Rattus norvegicus: one gene and its partners. The protein of the gene in region 1 purifies or fractionates together with the protein of each later gene. This does not show direct contact. Links are inferred from orthologs where the notes say so. Each region holds a gene or a part of one and is shown on either strand. Other genes may lie near its edges. The genes, in order: Med12, Cdk19, Med9 and Vdr.

Evidence for each region.
Region 2: the proteins of Med12 (region 1) and Cdk19 purify together in Homo sapiens (affinity purification with mass spectrometry; 10 studies listed by BioGRID and IntAct, counting the BioPlex papers as one, with this or other methods). This does not show direct contact. The link is inferred for Rattus norvegicus from reciprocal best matches to the Homo sapiens genes MED12 and CDK19.
Region 3: the proteins of Med12 (region 1) and Med9 purify together in Homo sapiens (affinity purification with mass spectrometry; 6 studies listed by BioGRID and IntAct, with this or other methods). This does not show direct contact. The link is inferred for Rattus norvegicus from reciprocal best matches to the Homo sapiens genes MED12 and MED9.
Region 4: the proteins of Med12 (region 1) and Vdr purify together in Homo sapiens (affinity purification with mass spectrometry; 3 studies listed by BioGRID, with this or other methods). This does not show direct contact. The link is inferred for Rattus norvegicus from reciprocal best matches to the Homo sapiens genes MED12 and VDR.

What each region holds. Positions count from the first base shown.
Region 1 is NC_086039.1:70,442,555-70,448,097, forward strand, and holds the start of Med12 (mediator of RNA polymerase II transcription subunit 12), read left to right. Parts: upstream 1-2,255; 5' UTR 2,256-2,276; coding exon 2,277-2,375; intron 2,376-2,887; coding exon 2,888-2,992; intron 2,993-3,193; coding exon 3,194-3,385; intron 3,386-3,507; coding exon 3,508-3,667; intron 3,668-4,120; coding exon 4,121-4,302; intron 4,303-4,462; coding exon 4,463-4,573; intron 4,574-4,684; coding exon 4,685-4,939; intron 4,940-5,443; coding exon 5,444-5,543. UniProt on the Homo sapiens protein: Component of the Mediator complex, a coactivator involved in the regulated transcription of nearly all RNA polymerase II-dependent genes.
Region 2 is NC_086038.1:45,446,441-45,451,465, forward strand, and holds part of Cdk19 (cyclin-dependent kinase 19), read left to right. Parts: intron 1-2,183; coding exon 2,184-2,315; intron 2,316-5,025.
Region 3 is NC_086028.1:45,262,406-45,266,560, forward strand, and holds the end of Med9 (mediator of RNA polymerase II transcription subunit 9), read left to right. Parts: intron 1-916; coding exon 917-1,133; 3' UTR 1,134-2,583; downstream 2,584-4,155.
Region 4 is NC_086025.1:130,865,563-130,869,681, reverse strand, and holds the end of Vdr (vitamin D3 receptor), read left to right. Parts: intron 1-70; coding exon 71-222; intron 223-417; coding exon 418-534; exon of another isoform or gene 535-1,498; intron 1,499-1,676; coding exon 1,677-1,936; 3' UTR 1,937-2,612; downstream 2,613-4,119.

The DNA of each region.
Region 1 (5,543 bases):
TGGGTTTTACTTTATTTGTATGAGCATTTTGCCTGCATGTAAATCTACATACCACATGTCATACCCTGTGCCAGAGGAATTCAGAAGAAGGCATCAGAGCCTCAGGCACTGGAGTTACAGACCATCGTTAGCCATCATATGGATGCTTGGAAATGACCCTTGGTCCTCTGGAAGAACAGGCAGTGCTCCTAATCCCCGAGCAATCTCTGCAGCTCCTCTTTTTAAAATTATTTATTTATTGAGACAGGGTCTTACTGTGTTTCTCTGGCTGTTCTGGAACTTGAAGAGATTGCCTGCTTCTGTCACATGGTGCTGGTGTTAATGCCCTTTGCCACTAAGCCTGAGAAAGATTCTCTTGTATATTTGTTTGTTTGTTTGTTATCTGTGTGTACACGGAGGTCAGAGGACAGTTTGCAAGAGTCAGTTCTCTGCTTTCATCGTGTGAAACCAGAGAATTCTATTCTGGTAAAAGGTACAATGGCAAGTAAACGTCTTCTGCCTTCTGGGGGGCCCTCTTGTGAAGGTTCTTAACTTGGAGTTCATGTATGCAACACTTCATGATAGAAAGTATCTGACAATTTGTATGATTACTATTCTGTGAAGAAGATCCCTATTTCTTCCTTTTCCTCCTCTTCCTCCTCCTTCCTGGAAGAGCCTGGTAGCTTTAGGGGGCAGGTGGCTCTCTGGGCTTTCTGTGAGTTCTGGGACAGTGTGGGCTATATGGGAAGTTCCAGGCTACCTCTGGTCACATGGTGAGATGACCCTGTCTCAGAAAAGAGAGGTGTGTGTGTGTGTGTGTGTGTGTGTGTGTGTGTGTGTGGACACATGTGCACATGCGTGCACCACACTATGTAATTTGGGCTGAAAGTGAACCTGTTATCTTCCTATGTACTGAGTTGTGGGTATTACAGGTGTGTAACACATATACTAAGTTTCGATGGCTTCCCCAAACCCTTTGGTCCTTTTGAGACAGGGTATGTGTCAGTCACTGTGTTGCTCTGTATGACCATCTGACTCAGATGACACACGGGTATTTTTTCTTTGTTCTTTTCCCTTCAGAGCTGAGGACAGATCCCAGGGTCTTGTGTTTGCTAAGCAAGCGCTCTACCACTGAACTAAAGCCCCAACCCCTGTTTTTGTTTTTGTTTTTTTTTTGTTTTTTGTTTTTTGTTTTTTGAGACAGGGGCTCTATGTAGTCCTGGCTGTCCTGGAGCTCAATGTGTAGACCATGCTGACCTCAAAACTCAGAGATTCTCGTGCTTCTGCCTGTCTAGTGCTAGGACTAAAGGTGTTTGCCATCAAAATGGTTATTTGTCTCAACAAATGGGTTTGTTGAGACAGGGTAACAGTTCATATATAGACTTGACTGTCCTGGAAGTCATTGTGTGAACCAGGCTGGCCTGTAATTAACAGAGATCTGCTTTCTTCTGTTGGGACTAAAGGTGTGCATCACCAGGTAAAGTGTTAACAAGAACAACAACAAAGGATTAGAGGTTTTGGTGCAGAGGGGCTGTAACCACCTGCAGAGATTAAAAGAAAGCGCTACAGTTTTATTGCTGCTGTCTTTTGTTTGTGAGACAGGCGCTTCACAGAGATCCGCCTGTCTCTGCCGCCTGTCTCTGCCGCCTGTCTCTGCCTCTGCTGGGATTAAAGGCATGTGCCTGGCTAGACCGGATCTTTTGTATCAGTCCAAAGGTGTTTTCTTAAAACAATAGAAGTTGCTAATCTTTACAACTGTCCTCAGTAGGAAGTTTAGCATGCCCATTATCCAGATGTGGGAACTAAGAAACGAAGTGATTTTAAGAGATGCAGTTATTAACTACACTAAAAATTCCTGACCACTTATCAGGCCAAGAACTGAGCGAAGCAACGGGAACACAGTTCCAACTAGAGCTCAGCGCTCCGGTTGCTTCCCCTATTTCAGGTCTGCGCCTCCAGCACCAGCCATGCCCGTGCATTTTTAGTGTGTGAAATTGACTTTCCCTCCTAGGGCCCAAAGCTCCCGGGCTGTGGGGCTCCGCCCCGCGCTAGCGAGGCCCCACCTACTCTGCAGTCAGTATTGTCCGACGGTACCCAGCGTCCCTCGGCAGTTTCCGGCAGTAATCGAGAGTTTCTAACGTGCCCCGCCTCCGCCACCCCCCTTCTCTCGGCCTCGGTCCTCTCTACCGCCTCCCGGCTTGCTGTCCCCGTGCTCCCTCCCGTCCTCGGCCCTCCGCCCCTTCCCTCCCCACCTCGCCTGGCCCTGCAGGCGCCTCAGGCGGTACGGGCTGGGCAAGATGGCGGCTTTCGGGATCTTGAGCTATGAACACCGACCCCTGAAGCGGCTGCGGCTGGGGCCTCCCGATGTGTACCCTCAAGATCCCAAACAGAAGGAGGTGCGTTCACAATTCCCGGTTCCCGCGGGGTCCGGGCAGGTGTTTAGTGTGGGAAGAGACACTGACAGTTGAGGGAAGGGGGGGTAAGGTTAGGTGAGAGCAAAAGTCCCAACTGGGGGAAGAGTAGAGTGGACTGGTGCCCTGCCGGAGAGTAGGGTCTGCCAGCAGTTCCGGTTGAGGAGCTCGTGGTTCAGGAGCCATGCCAGGGGTGCCCCCCTCCACACTCACTCGGGCGCTCATACACAAACCTCAGAAAGTTGTTAGGGCCAGCTTGGTGAGGTGCCTGTAAGGGAAGAGTGATGTCGGGGTTGCTCTGGGGAATGTGGAAATCTCATTGACTGTGGGGGTGAGGGTGGGGTCCAAATGAACATAAGGGCTGGGCTTTAAATAACCTCTTCTACTCAGAATCCTCTTCCTCCCTTTCTCCCTTGTTACCTTTTTCTCTGCCCTCTCCTACAACCTCTAATATAAGGCAAATGAGGGTTAGCTAAAATGCTGTTTTTCTGCCTCAGGATGAACTGACGGCTTTGAATGTAAAACAAGGTTTCAATAACCAGCCTGCTGTCTCTGGGGATGAACATGGCAGTGCCAAGAACGTCAACTTCAATCCTGCCAAGGTGAGACAACCCTGCCAGGCTGAAGGAAAAGGCTGGAAGAATCTGAGAAGGAGCAAAAGCTCTGGGTTGGGCAGACTGAAAGGGATAACCTAAATGGCAGAGTGTGTAACCCAGTGCTACCACATTGGCATTTTCACATGAGAAGCAGGACTACCTGCCTGCCTGTTCTTACTACCCTGAGATATACTGTTCTCCCTTTAGATCAGTTCCAACTTCAGCAGCATCATCGCAGAGAAGTTAAGGTGTAATACTCTCTCTGACACTGGTCGAAGGAAGTCCCTAATGAACCAGAAGGACAACTTCTGGCTGGTGACTGCAAGATCTCAGAGTGCTATTAACACCTGGTTCACTGACCTAGCTGGCACCAAACCACTCACACACCTAGCCAAAAAGGTGAGGTACTGTTTTCCCGTTCTTAAGGTCAAGGTAGTGTCTACCTATATTCTGAGATTAAGCTACATGGTGTCAGCTCCCTCGGGTACTTAGAGACCTTGCTGTTTATGATGCCCATCCAGGTCCCCATTTTCAGTAAGAAGGAAGAAGTATTTGGGTACTTGGCCAAATACACAGTGCCTGTGATGCGGGCTGCTTGGCTCATTAAGATGACCTGCGCCTACTATGCAGCAATGTCTGAGACTAAGGTTAAGAAGAAAAACACCGCTGACCCCTTCACTGGTAAGTAACTGTACACCCGGTGTACCACTGATGGCTTCGAGGGACGATGGAGCCCTAGAATAAATCTTCTCCCTAGTCTAGTCCCTGTTTCTGCATGAAGTTTGCATTCACAAGATTGGTAAGAACAAACTAATTTGACTATCTGATGTGTTCAGGTACTGGGTTATAAAGATGACCAGCATATAATTTCTACTCTTTAGATCCTACTGAAGATGCTAAGGCATATGGAGCATAATTAAATATAGAAAATGGTAAATGCCAAAAGAGTAGACAGGTGGTTCTTTGAGACTTCACTGGACATAATGATTACTTGCTTTAAGGAGGTGACATTTATCTATAGGCTGGGAGGATGAATAGAGCTAAGAACTCCGGTGATTGTGGGTGAAGGTAGGGGAGAGAGTATTCTTAGCCTAAGAATAGTACCATATAGTTCCCTTTCCATATTTTCTTTAGAATGGACTCAAATCATCACAAAGTACTTATGGGAGCAGCTACAGAAGATGGCTGAATACTATCGGCCAGGGCCTGCAGGAAGTGGAGTCTGTGGTTCTGCTATAGGACCTTTGCCCCATGATGTAGAGATGGCAATCAGGCAGTGGGACTACAATGAGAAGCTCGCCCTCTTCATGTTTCAGGTAGGAGAAAGGGCATGTTGTACATGGCATTGAGTTGCACCTTATCCTGTCCTGTTGGTATAGAACGGAATTTGCCTTTTACCTTGGCCCTGGTGTGGCTCTCTTCATTCTTCCATTTACTTTATCTGCCTTACCTCTAATAGTTCCCTGCTATCCATAGGATGGAATGCTGGACAGACATGAGTTCCTGACTTGGGTGCTTGAGTGTTTTGAGAAAATACGCCCTGGAGAAGATGAATTGCTTAAATTGCTGCTTCCCCTACTGCTTCGAGTAAGACCTATACCTAAGGAGGGACTGTTTAGAGGGTTTGAGAAAGAATCAGATATCAGAACAGTGTCTTTTGGAGAAAACTAGTGGTCTTTATTGGTCACCTCTTTACAGTACTCAGGGGAGTTCGTTCAGTCTGCCTATCTGTCCCGCCGCCTTGCCTACTTCTGTACCCGGAGATTGGCTCTACAGCTGGATGGTGTGAACAGCCACTCATCTCACGTTATATCGGCTCAGTCAACGAGTTCTCTGCCCACTACCCCAGCACCTCAACCCCCAACTAGCAATACACCCTCGACTCCCTTTAGTGACCTGCTTATGTGCCCTCAGCACCGTCCCTTGGTTTTTGGCCTCAGCTGTATCCTTCAGGTAGGTACTAAAGGGCCCAAGGAAGTATAAAGAATTGACTGCTCATCCTGGAGAATGGGGGTGAGTTCAACTTGGAGGTGGGAGCAGGCACTGAGTACCTGTTCAAGAATTAGTGTTTCTCTGTAATAGGATGCTCCCTTTTAGAGATTTTGGACATTCTCTTCCAGGACTAAGTAGTCGGCCCAAAGCTTTTTAGAAAGTGCATGAGAATCTGGGTATGATAGTGTTATGCCTGTAGTCCCAGAACTTGGAAAGAAGAGGCAGGAGGATTATAAGTTCAAAGTCAGCCTAAGCTACACAGCCAAATGAAACCTTGTCTCAAGATACTATTTTTTAAAAAAGGAGGAAGGTAAGGAAGAGAGGGGTCAGGAATGATACTTGCTCCAAGGACTTAGTTGTAATAAACCTAATTGAGATGTCAAACCTAAAGGAAAGTGGGTCTTAAGTAGGGATGTAGAGAGGTAGCAGTGGTAACTGGGTTTGATTTATTTATTTGTCTGGCAGACCATCCTCCTGTGTTGCCCTAGTGCCCTAGTTTGGCACTACTCATTGACTGATAGCCGAATTAAGACTGGCTCACCACTTGACCACCTGCCTATTGCTC
Region 2 (5,025 bases), on another chromosome or scaffold:
GTAAAACTATTGACTGTTTCTGTTATCACTAGAGAAATTTAGTTTTTAAGGGGTAGGCATTAGCACCGATTTCCTTGGTTAGCTTTCTTTTTAAGAGCTCAATACTCCAAAGCAGCTTCATGAAGCATTATAAATTATTCAAACTCTAAAGAAACAACATAGTCAGTTATAATTTAATGCATAGGTACTTAGTCTCAGATTAGATGATCAATTATAGTTACCTGCATTTGGGTCCCTTAAACATTCAAGATGTACTGTGTATATTATTACATTATATATTTTAAATTATAGAGATTTATCATTCTTGTGACTCTGCCTTGGTAATTTGTAATTGCCATGTGTATAACTTCTTGGCTGTCAATCAGTATTTGAAAGTCTAGGTACTAGAGGGGTTGGCTGGTGCCTTAGTTTAAGCGCCTGCACACAGGCATGGAAGACTTGCATTCAGACCCCAGCACACACATTCAAAGTAGTTAGAGTTAGGGGGTCTGCGGTTGGAAACAGAATTCTGGAACTTGTTGGCCAGCCAGCCAAACCACTGTAGAAGTGTTGAGTTCCGGGAGAGTTCAGTATGACTAACCTTTGCCTGGGGAAACACTACACACTCACCACGGATAGGGAACTCATGACAGAGTAAAGTACAATGCCACCAGAGATTAACTTCATCTCATTGGTTACTTAGCAGAATGGATGAGGGGTTGCTTATAGGAGCAGAAATGATCAAAGACAGATACATCATCAAAGCACACCTCAGTACAGGTAACAGCTCAAAAAAGCTGGAACCTGGAGCACACTGTGTAGCCTACAGGCAACTCAGTAGGTTGAGTATCCTTTCCAAGTGACTCAGTTGGTCTAAACTTCTCTCAGGCAAGTGGGCTTGTCTCTCCTTCCTCCAAGCAGCTGGTCTGGTCTCAGTCTCTTCTTTGCCCCTTTGCCTGTCTGTGACCTCAGCAGTTGTAATAGTTTATCCTTGGGAGGGAGGGGCCTAGTAAATCTGATCAGTTTTAGGGACTTCCTGAAGCTATTTTGAGTTGTTTCCCTTCTGGTTTAAGGAACTTCCCTGCTGGGGTATATATTGTTTCAATTTCTGAGGAAATGGCTAGACACTTTTTAATATGGGAAAACACCTAATGTCACCCCCCCCCACACACACACTTATCCATACTTTTAATAAATCCCAGTACTCAGGAGGCAGAGGCAGGTGGATCTCTGTGAGTTCCAGGCCAGCATGGTCTATAGAGTGAGTTATAGGCCTGTTACACAGAGAAATCAAAAAAACAAAAACAAAACTCAAAGTACACACACAAAAAAAATAGGGCTGTTAAATCAAACCATGTTTTTTTAAGTTCGATGTCTTACTATTCTTGTACAAATAATTCAACTGTGCTTTGGCTTTAGGTTCTTCACCTCAGACATGAGAAGCAAAGTACTAAGCTATGATGAAAATGCAAGGACGCTGTATGCTGTGTATAAATGCCATTTGTAAATTATAAACAAATATAAAATACTTCTTTATGAAATCATAACAAAGATCTCTAGAACCTCATAGTGTCAGTTTTCTATACCCCTAATGCCTAAGTTAGCTTTCATTTACATCTTTATTCAATGAATCACTATAGCAATTATGAATTATGTATTTTGTAGCAATTATTTATTATCTTTTATGCCTGTTTTCAGGATTGTGTACAATGTGCTGTTATAATCAACTTTCTAGGGGAAAGGTCACAATATGGCATTTTATGTTCTAGCACATACTGAACTGAGTGATGTGTAGTCAGTCTCAGGCCGGCAGGTGCACGGTCTCAGACGGGCAGGTGCACAGTCTCAGGTGGGCAGGTGCAAGTCTCAGGCGGGCAGGTGCACAGTCTCAGGCAGGCAGGTGCATCAGCTAAAGAAGGAGACTCAGTCCTAACTGCTCCCAAGAGCCAGGGATTTAAGGCTCAGGCTTAGGTCCTGCTTCTGACTCTGAACTTAAATCTTCACTCTCAGGAAGTCAATACTTTTAAACTTTAGTGTCTTGATAAGTAAATAAAGTTGACAGGATAGAAGACTCTTATCTTAATACAGATAAACAGTTCCTAACCAGCATGTAGTTTCAGAGGAAAAGTTTGCTTTGAAAAAATTAAAGGCATGGCTCTGATAGTATGTCAAACTGAGTTTTATATATTTGTTTTATTTTTCAGCTGACATGGGTTTTGCCAGATTATTCAATTCTCCTCTAAAGCCACTTGCAGATTTGGATCCAGTAGTCGTGACATTTTGGTATCGGGCTCCAGAACTTTTACTCGGTGCCAGGCATTACACAAAGGCCATCGGTAAGTGTCGCCTGCTCATGACTGTGAAGTCGTTCATAATAAAGCCGGTGCTGTGGAGAGAACATGCCCTTCTTCTTTGCTGGATGCTCCATAGCATATTGATCTGAGGAGTGGGGGCGTGAGTGAGAACTGTCACACAAAGGGAGATAGGGCAGGAGTGTTGTGCTGGAGAAAAGATTGTTTCCCAGTGTTGTAACCAAGACCTGGTACAGCCTGCCACCTCCCTTGCTGCTGTGGTCTGCAGACTGGCAGTCGGTCCAGCACAGCAGGAAGTACAGTAAGGAGGATGGCTGTGCTTGGCAGCTTGCCGGACACCAAGGAGAAGGAACTAGAGAAAAGCAGCTGTAAGCACGCGTTAGGGTTTAGTGGTCTTCCTTACAGCAGGCGCTCTGGAGACTTTCTTTTCTGAGGGCTGAAAAGCCTCAGCTGTAGGTAGGGAGCCAGGAGGCAAGATTCTCCCTCAGCTCTGGACATTTCCGTACATCAAAGAAAAAGAGAGAGCAAGGGGGAACAAACAGTAGCCGCAAGAAGGACAAGGCCTGGAAATTAATTAATTAATTAATAAGGGGAAGTGGGGGTGGGGGGAGAGAAGGACTGGGCTTCTAGTGCTTTACTTATGGGGACTTCCCTGCACATATGTAGCCAATTTTTTTTCTGCTAAGATTGTTTTCCATTGTATCTTCATTACTTTTCAATTGCTGTGAGAAAAACACCCTGGCTGTGCAACTATCAGAGAAAGAATTTAATTTGGTCACAGTTCCAGAGAGAGTTCGTGGCTGTCATGGTGTGGGGAGTGTTGTAACAGGCAGAAGACACAGTCAGGTGGAGGCAGAGAGAACTAACTGGGAATGGGGAATGGCATTCATTGGAAACCTCAAAAAGCCCACACACTGACACACTCTTTCCTACAAGGCCACACCTCCTCATCCTTCCCAAACAGTTCTACCCACTGGGGACCAAGCATTCAAATGTGAGCCTATGAGGTTATTTTCATTCAAGGTGCCATACCCACCACAGTCGATTACACATACAGTAAGTCCATGGTAAGCCAGCCTCTCACGTGCTTTTCCAGGCAGTTCTGTGTGCCCTACACACTGGAGAGCACTTTTTGAGAAGCACAATTGTAGGAAAATAGATGTGGTGGCTTGTTGCTCTTTATTTGTTTATAATAAATGTAATTGGAGTAAGTTTGAATTCAGCTATTTTTCCATGAGTAAGGAAAATTGACACTGAATTTTGTCCAACTTGCAACTCATTTGCTCGCCCAGGTAGTGAGGTTTAGCTTATGACATAAAAACTTAGGTCCTTGCCAGGTGCCAAGGAATGCTAGTACTTGGGAGGACACTGATGCAAGAAGGCTGTGTGTGAGCTCAGGGCCAGCCTGAGCTACACAGGGAGATCTCAAACTGTAGATCATCTCCAAATTAAGTCATAATATAGCCAAAGTCCTAATTATCCATTCACAGTAGAAGTTAGGGAAATTCTTAAGATAGGGAAAATGTTTGGGTTTATATTTTAAGATAGGGATATCTTTGGGTTTAAAATATATTCATAAGAACATATGAATGCATATTCACTCCTTCTCACCTTTCTCCATACCTGGTCACGTCAGAAACAAGTGTAAGTGACGTAAGAACTAGATAGGAGTACAGATTATAAAATAATGTTTACAGGAAACAGCTTCACACTGCCTGCTTTTCTGAGGTTCTTTATGCTAAATTTGTGAGGAAATCTACATTTTGCTTTTTGTCCTTTGAATAATTGGGATTTGATATGACTAGCAACATACAATACAGTCCTGACTGACAACATTAAAAACATCGAGGAGGAAGAAAGCTGATCGAGCCATTAGGGACAAGAGTGACAGAGGAAGACAGGGAAGGGTTAAAAGTAGCTGCAGGACGTTACCATACGGTGCTGATGGACATCCCTGATGATGGCGCCTTGGCCACATCACTAAGGAAGGTTAGGTTATGTTTTCTAGCCGATTATGATGGTGAGTATGGTGTGGTAGGCAGTGGTTACTGCAGGTCGTGACCCATTACCCAGAAAGCCCATGTCTGTGAAGGGACGCATCTGAATGGACAGAGAAGAGAGACATTACAGCATGGCTTCTCTTGGCAGGGTGGTTTACAACAGAGCATACTGACGTTTGTTGTAGTTAATGAATATAATTAAACCATCTGATTACTTAGTTTATCTTCAGGATGTGTTTGGCATTGTGGTACACTTTTTTTTTCTACATTTTGCCATATTCCTAGCAATATTACCTACTTTTATACTTACTAAATAACATTTCTCAAAATGGACGAATGTAAATGATGTATCTCAAAAGTTAACTCACATGCATATAGCAGAACATTGTAGGTATAGCCTTTAAAGCGTTCTAAGCTATGTCTTCAATATATAAAGCACAAATACAATGATGTATAGTTAGTAAAACGTTTATTACATTGATTTATTTTCTTATTGCTGGTGGGGCCTTGTGCATGCGGACTAACACATGTGACCAGGGAGTCACAATTGTAACCCCTTGCAAACTTTGCCTGAAGCTTTCAGTAGTGGTGAGGCAACAGCTAAAGGAGTTGCTAAGACAGAGTGTCTCACTGGGGCCATGCAGTGCTTGGATGCACGCACTTTTCTTATTAACTTCTAGACTTGGAATTGGTTGGCAAGTGGACTTTCACAGGTTTGCAGGCAGAAGTTGAGT
Region 3 (4,155 bases), on another chromosome or scaffold:
ATGACATTGATCCAGAGGAAAGCATCTGCAGAGCTGTGGTAGAGGAGAACCCGCGTCTGCTGAGAATGTTCCAGTGACTTGTAGCTGGTTTAAAATGTATGGAGTTCGTTCGTCTTTCTGTTAACAGGCCCAAGCAAGCACACAACTCAGTGCCATGAAGGCCCTGCTAACTGGCAGAGCCTCCTGGTTGGCCTACAGATGGCTCAGGTCAGGTGAAATGAGTATTTCAACAGCTTGTTTATTTTTCTGTTTTTGGAAGGGTCAGCTGATGATTGGTAATGGTGATTCGTTTAGCATAGCTGTGGCCTTGCTTTCCAAGCACTCGTCCTTTTGATGTGTGGTGTTCTGGAAATGCTATTTGGTTTGCGTGTGCACACCTGGGAGTGGTGGAACAGGCAGAGGCGGGCACTTGTGCCCAGCGTTATCATTTGTCCCCTTGTTCCCTTGCACGGAACCTGAGACTTGCTGTTTCAGCCTGTTTCTACACCCCCATCCCATCCCAAGGCTGAGCTGGGTTTATATCACGTGTGTCCCTGCTTTTACATGAATGGTGGAGCTCCAAACTCGGGTTGTCATACTTGTGCAAGTGCTCTTTACCCACAGTTGTCCTATGTGTAGGGCCAGGTTGGTGAGACAGCTGTGACGAAGCCAAGTTGGTCCCTGCCATCATCGAGAATTTTAAGTATCTGACTTGTCAGGTGTGCTCATTGGGAGTGTTTTTATGAGCTTAAAGCTAAAGAACAAAACAAATAAAAGACCAATCCCTGTCTTCTGGGGTAGGTAACCTAGTAAGGGAACAGACATGTCTGACAACATTCTAAAAGTCATCAGAGGTGTAGAACAAGGAAGCCATTGTGGAAATGAGCTACACATGCTAATAACTGACTGACTGCCCTCTACTCCCCCTGTCACCCAGCATGGACAAGGACAGCCCGGATCTCCACCAGGACCTGAACGCCCTCAAAACAAAGTTCCAGGAGATGCGGAAGCTCATAGGCACCATGCCTGGCATCCATGTGAGCCCTGAGCAGCAACAGCAGCAGCTACACAGCCTCCGAGAGCAAGTCAGGACCAAGAATGAGCTTCTGCAGAAGTACAAGAGCCTCTGCATGTTTGAGATCCCCAAGGAGTAGGACCAGCTCCTAGCAAAGCTGCCAACAGACTGAAAGCGTCACACTGTGCTGTCCAGCTCCTTGGGAGCCCAGCTCTAAACTGTGAGGCCACATGTGGCTGGTGTGGGGCCTGGGTGGCTCTACTCAGCCTCCACTCTCTATGCCTTGGGCCTCATCAGAGGGAGAGGGGGTAGCTGTTCCCTTCCTCCCTGAGCTCCTCCCACTCCCACTATCAGCATGGCATCAGGTACATACTGTTCCCATCAACAGCAGTTTCATGAAGCATTTGCATAGAATTCACGGGGTAAATTAGGCCTGCACTCAGATGGCATGGATTTATTATAATTAAAGAAGGCTGTGAGAGTATGAATATTGTGTTGAAAGGCCAGAGGGTGGGTGGCTTCTCCCCCAAAACAGTTCACTTCCTTTTTTGTTTGAACAACTGAATGAAACTGTATCTCTGGGGGCGTCAGCCCAGAGCTCTGCCAACCAGCCTCCAGCTTCAGTCGCTGGCCTCCTGCATCTCGCCTCACCTTGTAGGCTCGGCTGCCTTTGTCTCCATCACTTCAGGCAGTGCTCAGAATAGCCAGCGCACTGCTTGCCCGGGGCCCTTCGTCCTTCTTCCCATGCTGGTTCAGAGAGGCGGTTAAGTAAGCGGCTCTGCCCTGATTCATGCCTCGTCCTCTCCGCTCTCACCAAGGAGTCAGCCATACTTGCTACCCTGTACATGGTCTCTGCACACTTCTAGTTTGGAGCAGAGTTGCTGGCAGGAGCAGTTGGGGGCAGTTTCTCAGCCAGGGGATGTGTGGTTTAAAGGGCATGGGGAGCTAAGTCTGGAGGTGCCATCGCTGTGTTCTACTTGTAGAGAGTGCCCAGCGAGTCCCAGGTAGCACACTGTGTTCTCTGTCTCCCAGGGACTGTTACACTGAGGGCGCCATGGCCCTTTCCTTCTCTCAGGAGGAAGGTGAGAAGTACCCAGGATTGTTTGGATCTTGAAATGGGCACAGCCTGGGCTCAGCTTAGGACTTAGCAGGTGCCTGCCAACTGGCTTTGTTGGCGGAGTGCTGGCTGGGGTGTTGTTGGCGGAGTGCTGACTGACCGGGGTGTTTTAGCAAACGTTCTGTCTGTCCAGGACGCTTCACACTTGGGACCTGGAATGTCAGTGGTTTGGGCAGAAAAGTGGACTCTGAGTTTGAATAGAGGGTGACAATGAAGCCACCTCTGCCTTGGGGCTGTCCTTTAACCCAGTCAGTTCCTTTCTGCCAAGGCGAAGCAGTGGCTGGACCAGCTTTAAGGCTCTGCCCAGTTCCTGTAAGGGCAGAGCACGTGAAATGCAGGAGCTTCGGATCTTCCTGACAGGGAAGAAAGAAGGCTTCCTCGAAGGGCTGGAGGCTCGGAGGCTTCTCTGTTCCAGTGTGTTGACCTGTCATGTTTTCACATATGTAATTAAAAGTATGTTCTGTTCTCAGGACACATGGTTTGCCTGTTGTCTCTGTCTCTCTCAGGGCTAGCAGTCAGACCCTGGGATTGCAGGTCTTTAAAATGAAGAATTAGAGTGGTGTGTTGAGTGGGTGGTGTAGAGGCAAAAATGTTCACTGCGCTCCTCCTTCCGCCCAGCATGTACATCTGTTAAATGAGCACAAAGCCTACACGTCTCCCGCAGGGGACCCTGGGGAGCCCAGCCATTCATTGTTGAGAAGTGAGTGCCTTTCTGAGATTTGAGGAGGTACAGTTCCCTGCAAGTGGCCCTTCCCAAAGCAGGGTTGACAAGACCCTTCCTCCCCCGGTCCCAAGACAATTTTGAGCATCCCCGAAGGTCAAGACCCTGGAAAAACCAAGTATTTGGCTGGGCGGCTGCAGCAGTTGTGCTGACTCCTTGGAGACCATGTTGACCCCTGCACAGAGTGCCTCGATTTCTCAGCTGCAGAATTGGAGACTTGGAAGGCGACACTTGCCCTAAGTTGACCGTAGGAGTGGCAAGGAGATCTGGGTCACAAACTATGAGCCCTTAGCCACAGGGAGTTAGGAAGGTGCAGAGGAGGTGGGCCCCACCTGCTCGAGAGCTTCTGGGAGCTGCACTCCACCCATCTGTACTTTCCCTGTCCAGGTCCTGCGGCAGCCCTGGGGCAAGGAATGAACGTTAAGTGCAGGCCTCTTCCCTGCCACACCTCTCCACCTCAGCCTCCATGTTTGTGGTAATCAAGGTTAGCGTTTCAAGTGTGGCAGCTTTCTGTTGCCTTCTATGATGAGTAACAGATGGGCTGTGTGGAGGAGAGTATGAATATTCTCTAAAACAAGGCCCTCTGTTACAGGCCAGGCCGGGCAGAGTGTAGACAGAAAGCCAGAAGGTCCCACTTGGAAGTGGGAGACCATATTCTGAAAGCCAGGTCCTTTTCCAGTTCTTGGCCACTGCCACCGAGGCAGGAAGCCTAAAAGCAAAAGCAAAGCGAAGCACCATTTTCCATTTTAAAATTATTTTATTTTAAATTAAAAAAAATAATAAAGACCTCACACAATAGAAATGTAGAGATTTTGTTCATGTCACGTTGACACTGGAACTATTAAAGTGCAAGTTTTGTGTTTTGTTTTCCTTTTGGGTAATTACACACACACACACATGTAAACAAGTTGTCTGGCTATGATTGAACCCCCACCTCGAGCCAAAGTTTCCAGTTTGCTGAGGACAGAGGTGGCTGACAGCAGTCATGGCAACACCAATCACAGACGAGATAATGCCCTGTTAGTCCTGGCCCCACAGCAAGCCGCACAGTTACTTGAAGTCTCAGAGGCCGAAGCCCTTCACACACTCTCAAAGTCTCTGAGAAAAACGCCAACTAACCCTCTGCTGGGTCCTGGCATCCCAGAATCGGAGGCGAAAGTCCCAGTCTTAGCTAGTTCTTTCCTCTCACAGCAGATGACTGTCCCTTACTGTCTTGGCAGCATCTCCCTGGTGCACAGGGCTGGGTCTCAGGGAGGGAGGGAGGAGGCCAGCTGGCGCTCTTGGGGCACGGAGTGCACAGGTTAGCCTGGGAAACCGATTTGA
Region 4 (4,119 bases), on another chromosome or scaffold:
AAAAAAACTAACCGAGGGCCCGTGACGTGAACTGATTACCTGACTTCTCCCCGCCTGCCTTCCCTGACAGGGATCTCACCTCCGATGACCAGATTGTCCTGCTTAAGTCAAGCGCCATTGAGGTGATCATGTTACGCTCCAACCAGTCTTTCACCATGGATGATATGTCCTGGGACTGTGGCAGCCAGGACTACAAGTACGACGTCACCGATGTCTCCAAAGGTGTGGAGGGCGTCCTCCTATACTTCCTCCAGCTCCCAGACTCTACCTCTATCCTGGCACTGGACCTCTGGGGGTTTGACCAGATACGGGGAAGGGGAGTGGGCAGCAAGAGAGAGGAGGGAAGGGGTAATGCCCAGGGGGGGTTTCAGGTAGGGGTGAATGTCTCTACCTGACCCTGGCTGCTCTCTTTCACAGCTGGGCACACCCTGGAGCTGATCGAGCCCCTCATAAAGTTCCAGGTGGGGCTGAAGAAGCTGAACTTACATGAGGAAGAGCATGTCCTTCTCATGGCCATCTGCATTGTCTCCCCGGGTACGGAGCCTGGCAGGGAGGAGCTGAGGGACCTGGGACACGTTGGGGACTGTGAATGACAGAGAGCTTCTCAGAGCCAGCAGGGAAGTCTGGGGGAGGAATGAACGAGAGAAGTGACAAGGAAATGTTCACTTTGCTGGGTTTGCACAGCCCAGAAGGCCTGTGGAGGGGTCGCTTGACACATGTGGCTTTGTCTTATGCAGGCCAAGGTGATTCATAGGATTCTGAGGAACCAGATGAGCAGGGTTCCACAGCTTATTCATGGGACTTGGGTGTTCCTAATACTCAGGCTCTGTTCTTGCGTGACCTCGGATGAACTTTCCAGTCTCCTGAGTTCCTCCGATGCAGGCACAAATCCTTGGGGACTAATATATGCTTCTGCCTGAGTTGACTTTGGAGGCTGGAGGCTGTAACCCAAAGGGAGGAGACACTGAGAAGGAAGTTGTTGTGATCTTGAAGAAATTGGTGATAAAACCCAAAGAACAGAGCCCTGACTCAGCCTGGACCATGTGTGCACAGGGGACAAACTAGTGGCCTATGGCCAGGAATGCCTAGTCTGAAGGCCCAAAGGACAGACATATGCCTCCCTCCTGCTGTCTAGCTGACGTGTGTTCACTTATTCACACGCTCAGTAATGATTAACTGAGCATCTACTATGGCCAGACACTGGGCTAGGCACAGGGAGTTGCAGTAAAAAGGATAGACTTCTCTCCCATGAGAGTTAAAGGAAAACAAAATATTACGAGAATGTTGAATATGAAGATGCTGCCGGAGAGATCCTGGTATAGGTCACGGGGGCGTGGAGATGGAGGGTTACCAGGAACGACCTTCTTCAGAAAGCGCTTTGCGCCTGTTCCGTGATAACCGGTTGGTCAGGGGGGAAAGACGAGAGCTGATTTCCAGGCAACGGGGAGGTCTGTTAGCCAGAGTAGGAAGTACCTGAGTTCCAAAGCAAGGACTGAACCTAGAGACAGAAGAAGTAGGGTGAGGTGGGAACAGGACCAAATGAGCCCGCGAAAGGATTTGGTCCCAAATGCAGGGGATGTCATCAGGGGGATGCTGGCATGGGGTACCTGGGTGATGGTGGATTCTGTGAAACTGAACAGTGAACATCCTGTCTCCCTCCATCCCCTGGGACACAGACCGACCTGGGGTCCAGGACGCCAAGCTGGTGGAAGCCATTCAGGACCGCCTATCCAACACGCTGCAGACCTACATCCGCTGCCGCCACCCGCCCCCAGGCAGCCACCAGCTCTATGCCAAGATGATCCAGAAACTGGCCGACCTGCGGAGCCTCAACGAGGAACACTCCAAACAATACCGCTCCCTCTCCTTCCAGCCCGAGAATAGCATGAAGCTCACACCCCTTGTGCTGGAGGTGTTCGGCAATGAGATCTCCTGACCAGGGTGGCCCACAGTGGTGCCTGGGTAGGGCCGCTCCTCCAGAGCCCTGTGCCCAGGCCCTGGGCTGGTTGCAGCCCAGCAGTGCCTCCTGCCCTTTCTGGAGTTCAGTCCTTCCTCTGCCATGGCCTCTGTCTGTCTGCCTCATCCTTTCTCCTGCCCAGCCTAACACCTGGTCTCCCTTTCCTGTAGACCTCGAGTTGCTCCTGTCTCTTGAGACCTCAGTTAGGAGAGGCTGCTGTTTATCTGACAAAGGAACTCAATTGGGGATAGAGGGCAGGGGCTGAAGGCAGAACTCTGCCTAGGGGATGCCTCCACCACAAGGGGCTGCTGCTTGTGTCAAGGGAGGCAGGCAGAAGAGACGCATTCACTCCTCAGGGACAGGTACCTGCACCTCCCCTCACTCCAGCCCTACCTGCCCAAAGCCTGGTGAGAAATCTGGCCCCTGCCTGCGAAGGGTACACAACCTACCCATCATCCCTACTGTGTCCCGTCTCATCCTGCCGCCTGTCTGTGTTATTCTGACCCGGGGGAGTAGGTCACTGAGGGGCCTCCTTCCTCTGCCTTTATACTCACGGGGCTCACTCACTGCCAAGATGACCAAATACACTACCACACGAACCAAGGAGCACTCACCCAGCCCTGCAGTTCCCACCTTTGAGGTTTTGCCATGGGAATTCCCCAGGGCCAGTACCTGTGGTACAGGGGGCTTCTTCCCCATGCCCAGAACCAGGGACCTAGAAACCACCATTGGAAAGGCCCCAGGAGATAGAATACAGGGCCCAAGTAATGAAGAACAGAGAAAGTCAGCCTCCCAGCAGAACAATGAATGAAGGTCCATCTATCTTGGTCATCAAGCTGAGGGTTCTGAAGCCTGGAGCTGTTGGGACCTCTCCTCTATAGCTATTAGATGTGTCAGGACCAAGTTGTCCCCAACTTTCAGGAAATCCATAGCCCTGTCTCCATCCCTTACCCCGCCAGTGTTTTACCACCTACCCAAGAAAGCAGGTCCTCTGGCCTCACACGACCTCCCAATTTGACCACCAGGAGTATCCCGGGAGTCATCTTGGCAGCAGTGCCCCCCACACACACACACACCAATGAGAGCTACCTTGTCCGCCCAATAGAATGGGATGGGAGAAGACCAACAGCTGCCCAAATGGGCCTCCGAGCCTCCTTTCCAGATGTAAGGCCAGATACAAATGCTCCCCCCTCAGGGGAAAGGTGGAGGGATGGTCAGAGCTTGTGGTACAGTGATCTGGGGCCGGTTCCTCCTGACTCTCATTCTACCACCCAAAAAGTCAATGTAGGCCTACGAAATGGCCAGGTGATGGGCTAGGTTCTTATCTTTAATTTCTTCCTCTGTAGCAATCCAGGACTTTGGAACCCTGGTCTCACTCACCCCAAATACACACATTGCTGATCATGGGTTGTGGATGCGGGGGACCCATACAGAGGAGGTTCTTTTCACAGGGGGACTCATAGACGGTCCTTCAAGTGAATGCTTGACCTGAGGAATGCAGCCACGTTGGAAGCACCAAGAGAGGGCTAAGGTCAGTGGGAACAGGGCCCCACGAGCCCCGCATGTGTCCTAGCTACATTTTTCCATTCCCTGAAAACCCCGAGATGACAAATTTAACATGGAAAGAGCCATTAGTGTCCGCCTGGCCCTATGTTTCCCAGAATTCCAGTGGGAAACATCTGAAAACGGCTCTCCCGTTCTGCGGAACAGCACAGGGAAGGCTTTGTTTTAGAGTCATTAGATCAGGTGTTTTCAGAATTAGACCCCACCTGTACTGTGTTCTAACACTGAGGGTGACGGCACCTGATTCAGAGTGGGGTGTGTGTGTGTGTGTGTGTGTGTGTGTGTGTGTGTGTGTGTGTGTGTGTGAAAATACTGTACATTAATGATTATTGTTACTGCAGACAAAAAAAAAAAAAAAAAACCTAGAGAGAGCGACCTTTGATTTTAGCTGCAGAACACATTGATCCAGCTTACTGCTCAACGGGAGGGAAAGTTTGAAAGTTGATAAGCGAATCCGGCTCCTTTACAATGAGAACCTGACATCAGAGGAGAGTGTGGTCTACATGGGCTCTTATAATTAGAAGCATCCCCAGGCCTGGAGAAAATCTGAACTGATGGTCCTGAGCCATTTTACAGTGAGCCTGTTTCCACTGCTCTGG